Linked DNA regions of Arabidopsis thaliana. The protein of the gene in region 1 interacts with the protein of each later gene in a biochemical or structural test. Each region holds a gene or a part of one and is shown on either strand. Other genes may lie near its edges. The genes, in order: CKB1 and CCA1.

Region 1 (4,641 bases):
GTTGTGTTGGTGTTTGGACTTGTAATCCGATGATAGCACTCTCTATCATATGATATATATAACTCTGCAGGTAACGAGAGAGAGAGAGAGGAGAGATCATATCTTACATATCCAATTAGTCTTCATCAAAGTACTTATCTTCAGCGTCACGGCCAATCTCTCGAAGCCAATGATCATCAAGAGTCTCGTCATTGTCTATCTTTGCGTAATCCAAATGTTGATGATCTTCTCCCGATAAGAACTTCTGTTCCATGATTGATGTGAACTGATCCATCATATCTTGCATCTCCTCTGGCGGTAAGACTGTTGTTGCCTTCTCTTTCTGTTCTTTACCATTCAGACTTGAAGAGCTAGCTTCTGTAGGATTCTTCGCTTCTTCATCTTCTTCTTCTTCCTCCTCTTCTGATTCCTCCTCTTCCTCTTCTTCTGATTCCTCCATCTTCTCATTACCAACCCAATCACTCTCTGAAACACCTAACCTCTGCTGCTCCTCTCTAATACGAGTAACCAACACCGCTTCCTCAGCCCGTCTCATCAAAGTCTCAGACCAACGTTCTCCAGGCCTAGCCATGTTCCTTCCCATCACATCCTGAAACTTCCCAACATACTCATGATGTAGATACGGCTCTCTATCTCTCATAGCATCCTCTGAGAAATACTGTCCCTCGGATACAAGCTTATTCAAATAAGCCAATCTCCTATTCCTCACAGCTACAGACCTCGATTTAATCTCTTCTGAAGTCGGACTTATCTTCTTCCGCAGGTTTTTCAAATGCCAATCAACCTCGTAGTCATGTTTCATAGCATCAAACTCAAGCAATTCATCTACTAGTAGCTCCGATCCATATCTCTCTGAAATCATCAAAGCAAAAACAACTAATGCTTCAGTTCCCAAATCATATTTAATAAAAAAGTTTCATTCTAATAACATTACACACTCAATACTTAGATGATTATGAAGCCAAAACTCATCTATCTACTAACCTATGAACTAACCTAAGGACTAAAAACTTAACCTAATGAATCAATAGTTTCACCAAGTACTTAATTAAGGACTAAAAACTCAGTAACACATCCAATCATACTTAGACAAAATTGAAATTAGAATCGAGGAATTGGAGCAGAATAATGGAAAGTACCTAGAAAAACGGCGGGATCACGACGGAGGAGGTCGAGGAGGATGGATTTGCGTTGGTCGGAAGATGCAGCGGTTAATTGGACGGCGCGTGGAAAATAGAGATTGTCGAGAGAAGAGAGTCTCTCCGTTATATCTTCCGCCGCCGTGCCTTTCATTGTTGTTGCTTCCATCTCCATCGTCTTCTTCTTCTCTTCCATTGTTCTCCTCTCTCGGACTCGACCGACTGACTAAAGAAAGATGTAAATCGTCTCGTTCATGTGCTGGTCACGTGACAAGACTTTGCCGGTGTTCATCACCTGTTGGGCTTTCTTGGGCCATTTAAACCACTAATTGATGTTTTGGATGATGAATTGGTTAAAAGACAAATCGGTCATTTTTAAAACAAATTACAGCAAGAAAAACTGAAAGATTATCAAAAAAAAATCTAATAATATACGTGACATGAAAGATTATCATTAGTAAACTGTAAAAAAAAATCTTAAAATATTGTAATAATGTATGTGCCAACTATGTTATTAAAAAGACAAAAGAAATAATACAAAATTTTTTATTCTTTTATGTAAGTAATTTATGTCTATCTTGTTAAGTGAGCATATTTCTAAAAACAAATGTGGGCAACATTGGCAAAATGGCAATTAAAGAAACAAGAGCGGTCGTTGCTGTGCAGTGAAATGCTACGTGTTGAACCAGAAGTTAGTGGTTAGTTCGATTCGACCCATCTCTCCCACTACTTTCTCTCTAGTGGCTAGCTTAGCTACCGATTCACTCCCTCGTCTCCGGGAGCTCTTTATTTCTCTATTTCCCATTTTACCCCTATAATTTTTTTTCAAATCAAAAATTAAACGGTGACCAAAAAATAAAATAATAATCTTTCTCTGTACGAAACAGACTAGTTGCGAAACGCGAAAGAACAAGATTCGACAAAAGCTAAAAATAAAATAAAAGAAGAAGCAAAACCCTAGAGCTCAAGGTAATCGCCGTCGATTTCTCAATCTCTCACCGGCGATTACATGCCGATGAAAGTTGTACAATAGCTGCTGTAAGAGAGAGATTTATCAGGTATTTTTAGAATCATGTATAGAGACAGAGGAACGGTGAATTCGAGACCTGAAGTTGTGGATCGTAAACGGATCAACGACGCTCTTGAACGTCCTTCTCCTTCAACCTCTCGTCAAGTTAACGGCAAAGGCAAAGGAACCGTTACGGCGGCGACGACGACGGCGAACTTGATTGGGAAGCAGCAGTCGAATAACATCAACCATAGAGATTCTCGTTCTGCTTCTCTCTCGAAGAACAATACGGTTTCTGATGGTTAGTCTCTCTTGCTCTATTGAAATCGAATCTACATTTAGAAACAGATACTTAACCCTAGAGTTTCCTGATTTGGGAATCAAGTTTTGATCTTTATGTTTAGTATCTTATCTCCATGAGCTGAATTAAGCAAATTCCTTTATTAGCCTATGGAATTTTTGATGTGAATAGATGAATCAGACACAGATAGTGAAGAATCAGATGTGAGTGGTTCTGATGGAGAGGACACTTCATGGATATCTTGGTTTTGTAATCTAAGAGGAAACGAGTTCTTTTGTGAAGTTGATGATGATTACATTCAAGATGACTTCAACTTGTGTGGACTCAGCAGTCTAGTTCCCTACTACGAGTACGCTCTTGATTTGATTTTGGATGTTGAATCTTCTCAAGGTAAGTTGTTATCCTTTTATTAGTTTTTGCGGTTTAGCTAGGTACAGGCACAGCATCTGCATTTAGGGATAGTAGGGAAACCGATATGGGTTCGCTTTTACGATTGTGTCTCTTGAATGTTTGATTTGGATTGGTCGGTAACAGGAGAGATGTTTACAGAGGAACAGAATGAATTGATCGAGTCAGCAGCTGAGATGTTGTATGGACTGATTCATGCTCGTTACATATTGACTAGCAAAGGATTGGCAGCAATGGTAAACAAAATCCTTAAACACTCATTTGCATGTCTTTCACATTCTATAAAAGATTCACAGATTGATTCTGTTTATTTGCAGTTAGACAAATACAAAAACTATGACTTTGGAAGATGTCCAAGAGTTTATTGCTGTGGCCAACCTTGTCTTCCGGTTGGTCAATCAGACTTACCGCGATCTAGCACTGTGAAGATATATTGCCCGAAATGCGAAGACATTTATTACCCACGATCAAAGTATCAAGGCAGTATCCTTTTTTCTACAGTTTCACTTCTGCTGATATAGAGTTATATAAATGCAGTTCTGAAAAACTTTGATGTTTGATTCTTATTGCATGAAGAAATGATTTTTCTTTTGAGTTTCTAGTGATCTTTGGTGTTACCTTTTTTTGCGGTTTTCCTTAAAAGAATGAACAGACATTGATGGAGCTTACTTTGGGACAACGTTTCCACATCTGTTCCTGATGACTTATGGGCATCTCAAGCCAGCGAAGGCAACACAAAACTATGTTCAAAGAGTGTTTGGGTTCAAATTACACAAACCGTGAAGGAAGTTTGACGACAAAACCCAAGGATCAAGATCATGGCGTTGGAATGGAACTGAGAAAAGAAGAGACGTGTGTGAACAGAAACGGAAAATAAAACGCACTGTAATCACACGAATGGTGAAGAGAGCATTCATGTCTCTATTTGTCTTCAGGTACATACACATTAGAAGAAAGCAAAAGCATGGTTAGAAAGAAAAAAAACACGAAAATCTTTTAATGAGTTTGTTAAACTTGAACATGTATTTTTCTACCTTCTGTAAACTTTTTTATTTTGTTTCTTTTCTCAGTGTCTGATTTAGTCATTTATCATTTAAAAAAGTATCCATTAAAATTTATCAAAGATTTCAATTTGTGAAGGAAGTTTAAAGGGTTGATTTGGAATCATTAAAATTATGTTGTTGTGGTTGACCGTCTGAATTATTGACCTACTTTCGTATTAATCAATTTTAATATTGTACTTATAGACCAATATGACTCAATCCAATAAATGTAAATATTGACTAAAAGTCACACGCTTTTAATAAAATTATTTTGGAGCTTTAGAAAGACGAGACGAGACCATATATGTGTCAAAACATTTTCAACGATTCAAAGCGTAGGATTATTTTATAATCTTAGGTAAACTATACAATTGCCTACATAGCAACTTTCATATTTAATCGGATTTTACCTCTCTATATCTATTTTTTTCAGTGTTCCATGATAATAAAAAGAGAATCGAAACTATTATACGAAAAAGAGAGCATATGATATTTAAAATGAAAAACAACAAAATATTAATTTGATTTTTTTCCTACCGGCACAAAATATTAATTTGATCAAGAACAAAATATAATAATATTTATCTTTACTTGTTTGTAAAGCAGTCACTAATATTTTTAAAACTCATAATAAATATCTAAAAACAAATTCTATTATCTTGTTTGACTAGTTTTTGTTGTCTAAACTTGACTAGCTTTATATCAAATTGATACTTTCCACTTGTATATATATATATGTTA
Region 2 (6,065 bases), on another chromosome or scaffold:
CTTACACGCATCCAAGTTTTGGTGAACCGACTGCAGCCTATCTGACTGCAGCTTTTATCGATTGTGTAAAGACAGTAGATGGTATGTGTGAGGACACTCCAAAAAGTGAACTAGATGTCTACAGAGAGACATTTAAAATGTTCGAGGAGCAGGGTTTCGACGTTGCAGAACCTTTATCACAGGTCCTCACGCTGTTAGTTCTCCGCAAGATGAGACGTGAATCCCTCAGACAACAAAAAGGGATGGAGAAAGAGATGGCAGATGATTATAGCAAGCTGAAAAAGAGTCTGGTGAGGTGCAAAAGCAGCTTTGAAGACAAGGAGACGGCCAAATAAAAGATATGGGGTCATTTCATGGGTGTGGTTGGATTTATCCTTATAACTTCTGTTTTTATTTAATCCTTTTTTGTAACAACTCTGTTGTACTTGCTACTGCTTGCCTTTGGCTGCTTGCCTTTCTATTTATGTGATGACATAAGGAAGTAGAGTTTGCTTATTTGTGTGGTGCTTTTGTGCTTACTTATGAGTTATGAGACAACTTAAGGGTGATGGATGGGCTAAGATTACGTTTTGGAACTCTGTCGTTTGCATATATCAAGAACAAGAGCCCCTTGAGTGAAGTTCTTTCCAGGTTGGAAAAAAAAAGATTAAACAGTTTATGATTTGTTGAATAATACAGAGTCAAATGTTACAGGAAGACTATGGACAAGGAAACAAATACAAAGGCCTCAAAAGAAAAAGAAAATGTAGCAGTGGTCTTGAAAACTTAAAAACAGAGTACAAACAACAGATCAGATGAAAATAGAGTCTCATGTGGAAGCTTGAGTTTCCAACCGCATCCGTTTGGGATCTTTCTGTTCCACATGAATGATAGGATTGTTGTTGAGGATTCTACTTTCTTTGGCTTCCATGGAACATCTTTTGTATGGTTTAAAACCTGTTCTTCCTCTACTCATTAGCTTTGAAGCATCTAATCCGATTCCAAGAAATCCTGTGTTTCTCTTCTCCTCTTGATCATCAACTGGTGTTAACTGAGCTGTGAAGTTAAGATCAAGTGCCATTGGATATCTTTGTTCTTGTTGTTGTTGTTCTTCCTCTCTGTGTTCTTCTCGATATGTAAAACTTTGCGGCAATACCTCTCTGGAGAAGAGAGCTTGGAAGGCAATTCGACCCTGAATGTACAATATTTATATGAGAAAATGATTTGAAATAAAGGAAGTTGATCTTTAGTCCAAGTAAGTACCTCGTCAGACACAGACTTCCATGGATCGGTTATATTGGAGCTGATTCTACTGCGGCGTGCATTGGACTCTGAAGTTTGAGGTTTATTAGTGTCTTCATTCGTTTCTTTCACCTCACCATTGGTGCCATCCTCTTGCCTTTCTGATGCATCCGCCTCAACATCATCACTACTCGACGGAGTGTTTGAGCCACACGAGGACCGGTCAACTTGTTTTCTGTCTCCTGCTCCATCTGAACCCTTTGCATCACTCTCAGGTGTTGCAGAAGGCTGCTCATGACAAACTGGTTTACTCTTATTTTCAACATCCTCTGAGTCCAGTGAAGATCGAGCCTTTGATGCCTCGGAGTGTTCTTGCTCTCGGCTCTGCACAGAACCATGTTGTAAAGTGCTTGCTTTTGTGTACTCTACATCACATGATGGTCCAAAAGTAGATGGAGGATGACTAGTGAAACCACCTGAACTAAGAGGAGCACATAAAGGTAATAATCCATTGGCAGCCCACCAAGCACTAGCAGCTGCAACAGTGGCTGCGGCCATGGCAGCCAGATTCGGAGGTGAGTTCCCTGGAACAGGTGAGCCACCACTAGAATCGGGAGGCCAAAATGATGAGGCGAAAGTTGCGGCAGTATAAAGAGCCGGTGTTTGTAAAAGGGTTGACATTATATGATTAGGAAACGACTGATAATCTCCTGCAACTGTGTGGGGATGACTATCTGGCTCTGAAGGAGGATGTGATAGAGAACTTGTTATTGAGCTCCCCAATGGCACTAGCACAGGGATATGCATCGGATAAGTCTGAGGTCCTTGCTCATTACCGTTTTCCAGAGATTTTGCATTCAAATCTGAGTTTGACTCCTTTCTTACCCTGTTATTCTGACTTCCCTGTTATTCCCCCACGGTTTTAGTTTCATGAAAAGTACTAATCGTCTTAAAACCTCAAATAGCAATGAAAGATTGTTTTTTACCTCTTCCCGTGAAGGCAAGAACTCGCGGAAAGTGCTTGCGTTTGATGTCTCTATACAACTTTTATTCATGGAGGATGCAGCAGAGAGATACTGATGAGTGAAACAATCTGAACAGTTGTCTTCCTGCAGAGTTTTCTCTTCAGGCTTTGATTGTTGTCGATCTTCATTGGCCATCTATAAACGAAGCACACAATCTGTATTAATAACATGAGGAGCAATGTGACACACTGCAAAAAGATGCCATATGACCATGAAAATCACCTCAGGATGCGACACTTTTTCTGATCCAAGGGACTCTTTTCCATCATTCACACCCGTTTTTGACATAAGGATCGTTCCACTTCCCGTCTTTCGAGGATAAGGATTGTTTGGTTTACGCTTAGGCCGTGGAGGAGGAATAGCTATGTCTAGCGCTTGACCCATAGCTACACCTTTAGCTTCAGCCTCTTTCTCTACCTGAGAGAGATGAGAGTAGTTTTGTTACCCTCTAAACAAACGTAAACAAACAAAAATCTAATGACACTAACAAGTTTAAATGACAGAACTGGAAAATCAAAAATGGTTTACCTCTATGGCTTATCACAAGGAACATTCAAAAATTTCTAGCACTCAGCCCACTTTTGCCACTACCTCAGAATCGGTAAGAAGACACAAGTTTATCTGAAGAATCTAAAGAAACTAACATTCTTCTGAAGAATCTATGTACATGTTTGTGGATTAACAAGATATAGGCATAAACAAAAGAAAACGATTACATCTCGTCATTTCTCCAACTATTTTAAGACTTATTGCTCATTACTAAACTCTAAAAACGTAATCTATCTATCTCCTGACTAAGAAGCAAAAGAAGCAGAAAACTTGCCTGGCTTTCAATAAGTCTTAAGCATTAAGCCAATGAAGATGAGAACATCATTTCAAAATTAACCGATTTTACCTTGGAGAAAAATTTCTGAGCGTGACTTCTTATCTGGACAGCAGTTTTTGTTGCTACATGTTCTGTCCAAATGAAAAAAAGCAAATCAGTTTGAAGACAAACCTCTGCAAACACAAAAAATAAGACATATAAAGGGAAATAAAAATCAACCTTCAATCTTCTGCCATGCTCTACCATAAAGCCTCAAAGCTTCAATGAATCTATTATGTTCTTCCTCAGTCCACCTTTCACGTTGCTTTGTTATCGTATATGGCTTCCGAGTCTATATCAAGTTTCATTAAAATTCTCAATCTTTGACACCTAAAACAATCATCTTCCCCCTAAAATTTAGTTTAATTTACCTTAATAACCAGATCTTCTCCAGACGAATTTGTCTCCATCACTAAGCTCCTCTACACAACTTCAGATCTTCTCTTTACAAAATTCCACTAATCCACAAAACAAAAAACAATCAAGTCAAGTTATTCATCAAACAATAAGAAAGACCATGACAATAAATCAATCTTAAGTACCTTTAGAGAGATGATTCAATGAAAGAAACAAAATCAGCTTGGATTCGATAAAGATTCCATTTTTAATTCCAGATTTCGTTGGATAAGAAAACAGTAAGAAATCGAGAAGAAGAAGAAGAAGAAGTGATTTGCTTTTGATCAATGAAACAAAGAAAAGAGACCAGAAGCTACGGAAATGGAGAAATCTCAGCCACTATAATTATCTTTAACCTCAAACTTTTTAATTTATTTATTTCGAGGCTACAAAAGAAACTGCCATATGTCAACATACTAGTGGCTGAAGAGATGATTCAGCTTTTGTTCAAGTTACATTCTTGTCCATCTTAACATCAACTTGTTCACAACCTTCTTTGTATTCTAGGCCACGAGTTCCGGGACTACCTGAAAGGTTAAAAAGGTCAATTCGTTATAATATCTTGATCTAGTGGGACCTACTTAAGATCGTTAATCTCTCCCACCAGTTTGTCGACACGTGTCTGATACACTAGAAACATCAGTGGACCCGGGAATCTAGACGACTACTTCACCAACAATCGAACGCGCATTCTCGTGCGGTTCACTACACGCGCTATTCTCACACTCTAATGGACCTAAACTTATTTGGGCCATAGTTTTATATTGGGCTTATTTTTTTTAGACCCATAAGGTTTTGTTCTTTTAGCATAAGGCCCATATCGTTATTCAACAGTTCAGCATTAAGCTAAGCTAACCATGCATGAAGGGTAGAAGACTAAATGGGGACAAAGTTTGAAATTTTGGAAAATGAAACAAAACATCTCATATATAGTCTTGAGGAATTTACAACACTTTGACATAAATGGATGATACTTTGAGCTAAAAAAGACCAGAGACAGAGAGAGAGAAAGGATGAAAATTATTTAGTTACAAGAAGGAAAGATTGAAGGAAGGACGTGGCCTTTGTGTTAGATTCTTTTGATATCCTTCATTCCAATTCATGAATGGCCTCAAAAAGGCTCTTCTTCTTCTTCTTCCTCCTTTGATTCAGCTGCTCCCTAATATGTCTTTGTATGTGCTCTTGACCTTCTCAAACAAAGCCTCCCTGAAACAGATAACAAACAATTTCCTCGAGAATTTGAGTCTTCCATTCTCAGTATTACATGCAACCAAACACAGAGTTAAAGAGAGAATTGGTTAACCTGTCTGGTTTGAAGACCAGGTTCTTGTAAGTGAACCACTGCCATAGAAAAACCAAATGTTAATAAGGTCCATCACACAATTGAAACAAACTACACACGTCTTTTAAGATTGAAACACTAGCGAGAAGCAGCAATCAATTTCTGATATCATATCTCCATATGAATTGCAGATGTTCGGATTCTAAATTCAGAGAACTAATCCTAAATCCAAAAGTGAAGTGATGAATCATCTATATCCTCAAAACAGGTTCATGAGAGCTTTGGTTCAAGTGATACAAAGAGAAGAAGAAACTCACTCCTGTGTAACCGATGCCTACAAGTTCAAGAACACCAGGAACCAATGGAAGCCTATCGATTGCCTGTTTCACAATAACAAATTTTGGAATCAAATAAAGGAAATTTAACACTAGGGTTTTAAGAAGAAAGTAGTATTCTTCTACTCACCGAAATCATTCCAGCAGAACCCCAAAGAGCCACTACACCAGCAAAGGCAAGAGAACCAATAGCGTACTTGTCATCCACTTTCTCCCACTTCAATCCAAACAACCAAATTCAGTACATGTAACCCAGAAGCAAGAGGTAGAATCATCATTGTATAAATAAAGTAAGAGTATTTACAGCTTCTTGAGCAGTCTTGACGATTTCAGGTAACTCAGTAGTCTCAGCTTCGGTAGTAGTGGCAGGAGCTTCACCAACTTCAGTAGTAGCTCTCGTCACAACGTTCCTCACAATCTTCCGACCTAAAAACCAAAACCCATTTCGAAAGTTTGAAACTTTAAACTCGAAATTAAAAGTGAAAAGAAAAATCTTCAGATTTATGGAAAACGAACAGTAAGCAGTGGCTTTAGCGGCACGGGTATGAGACTGAATCGGAAGTGTGGGAAGTGAAATGCACGACGGAGAAGAGGCGGAGGCGGAGGCTAGTCGAGAAGGAGGAGCTCTTGAATCGATGATGGTTGAAGAGGAAGAGACTGAAAGAGAAGCCATAGCTATTGAGCTTCAAGCCTCGGAAGAATCTCACAGAAACAAAAACAAAACAGAAACAATTAGGTTTATTATCTAAAAGATTAATGGAGAGCAAGTGTTGAAAGAATTTTGGGGATTGTGGAGATGCTTTCTCTGTTACCAGTCGGAAACTATTCGACCACTCGTTTTGGGTTTCCCGATCAGGATAGTGCTGACGTGGCGGACGTAGAGACGATCTTGGAGTTTTCATTGGATTAGATAGAATTGGGTTTTTTGGCTCCTTTTATAA

The links.
Region 2: the proteins of CKB1 (region 1) and CCA1 form a complex in vitro, tested with the Arabidopsis thaliana proteins (one study listed by BioGRID).

Annotation. Positions count from the first base shown.
Region 1 is NC_003076.8:19,123,968-19,128,608, reverse strand, and holds CKB1 (casein kinase II beta chain 1), read left to right. Parts: upstream 1-1,914; 5' UTR 1,915-2,211; coding exon 2,212-2,449; intron 2,450-2,620; coding exon 2,621-2,839; intron 2,840-2,983; coding exon 2,984-3,093; intron 3,094-3,174; coding exon 3,175-3,340; coding exon of another isoform or gene 3,341-3,378; exon of another isoform or gene 3,379-3,509; coding exon 3,510-3,640; 3' UTR 3,641-4,046; downstream 4,047-4,641. Other genes in the region: AT5G47090 (coiled-coil protein), read right to left, coding at 116-852, 1,140-1,335. UniProt on the Arabidopsis thaliana protein: Plays a complex role in regulating the basal catalytic activity of the alpha subunit.
Region 2 is NC_003071.7:19,243,461-19,249,525, reverse strand, and holds CCA1 (circadian clock associated 1), read right to left. Parts: upstream 3,936-6,065; 5' UTR 3,654-3,935; intron 3,570-3,653; 5' UTR 3,522-3,569; coding exon 3,483-3,521; intron 3,404-3,482; coding exon 3,292-3,403; intron 3,204-3,291; coding exon 3,142-3,203; exon of another isoform or gene 2,775-3,141; intron 2,664-2,774; coding exon 2,469-2,663; intron 2,382-2,468; coding exon 2,208-2,381; intron 2,125-2,207; coding exon 1,243-2,124; intron 1,172-1,242; coding exon 809-1,171; 3' UTR 611-808; downstream 1-610. Other genes in the region: DUF4 (hypothetical protein (DOMAIN OF UNKNOWN FUNCTION 724 4)), read left to right, coding at 1-335; PSI-P (photosystem I P subunit), read right to left, coding at 4,656-4,713, 4,811-4,848, 5,107-5,169, 5,255-5,341, 5,429-5,550, 5,641-5,797. UniProt on the Arabidopsis thaliana protein: Transcription factor involved in the circadian clock and in the phytochrome regulation. Binds to the promoter regions of APRR1/TOC1 and TCP21/CHE to repress their transcription. Binds to the promoter regions of CAB2A and CAB2B to promote their transcription.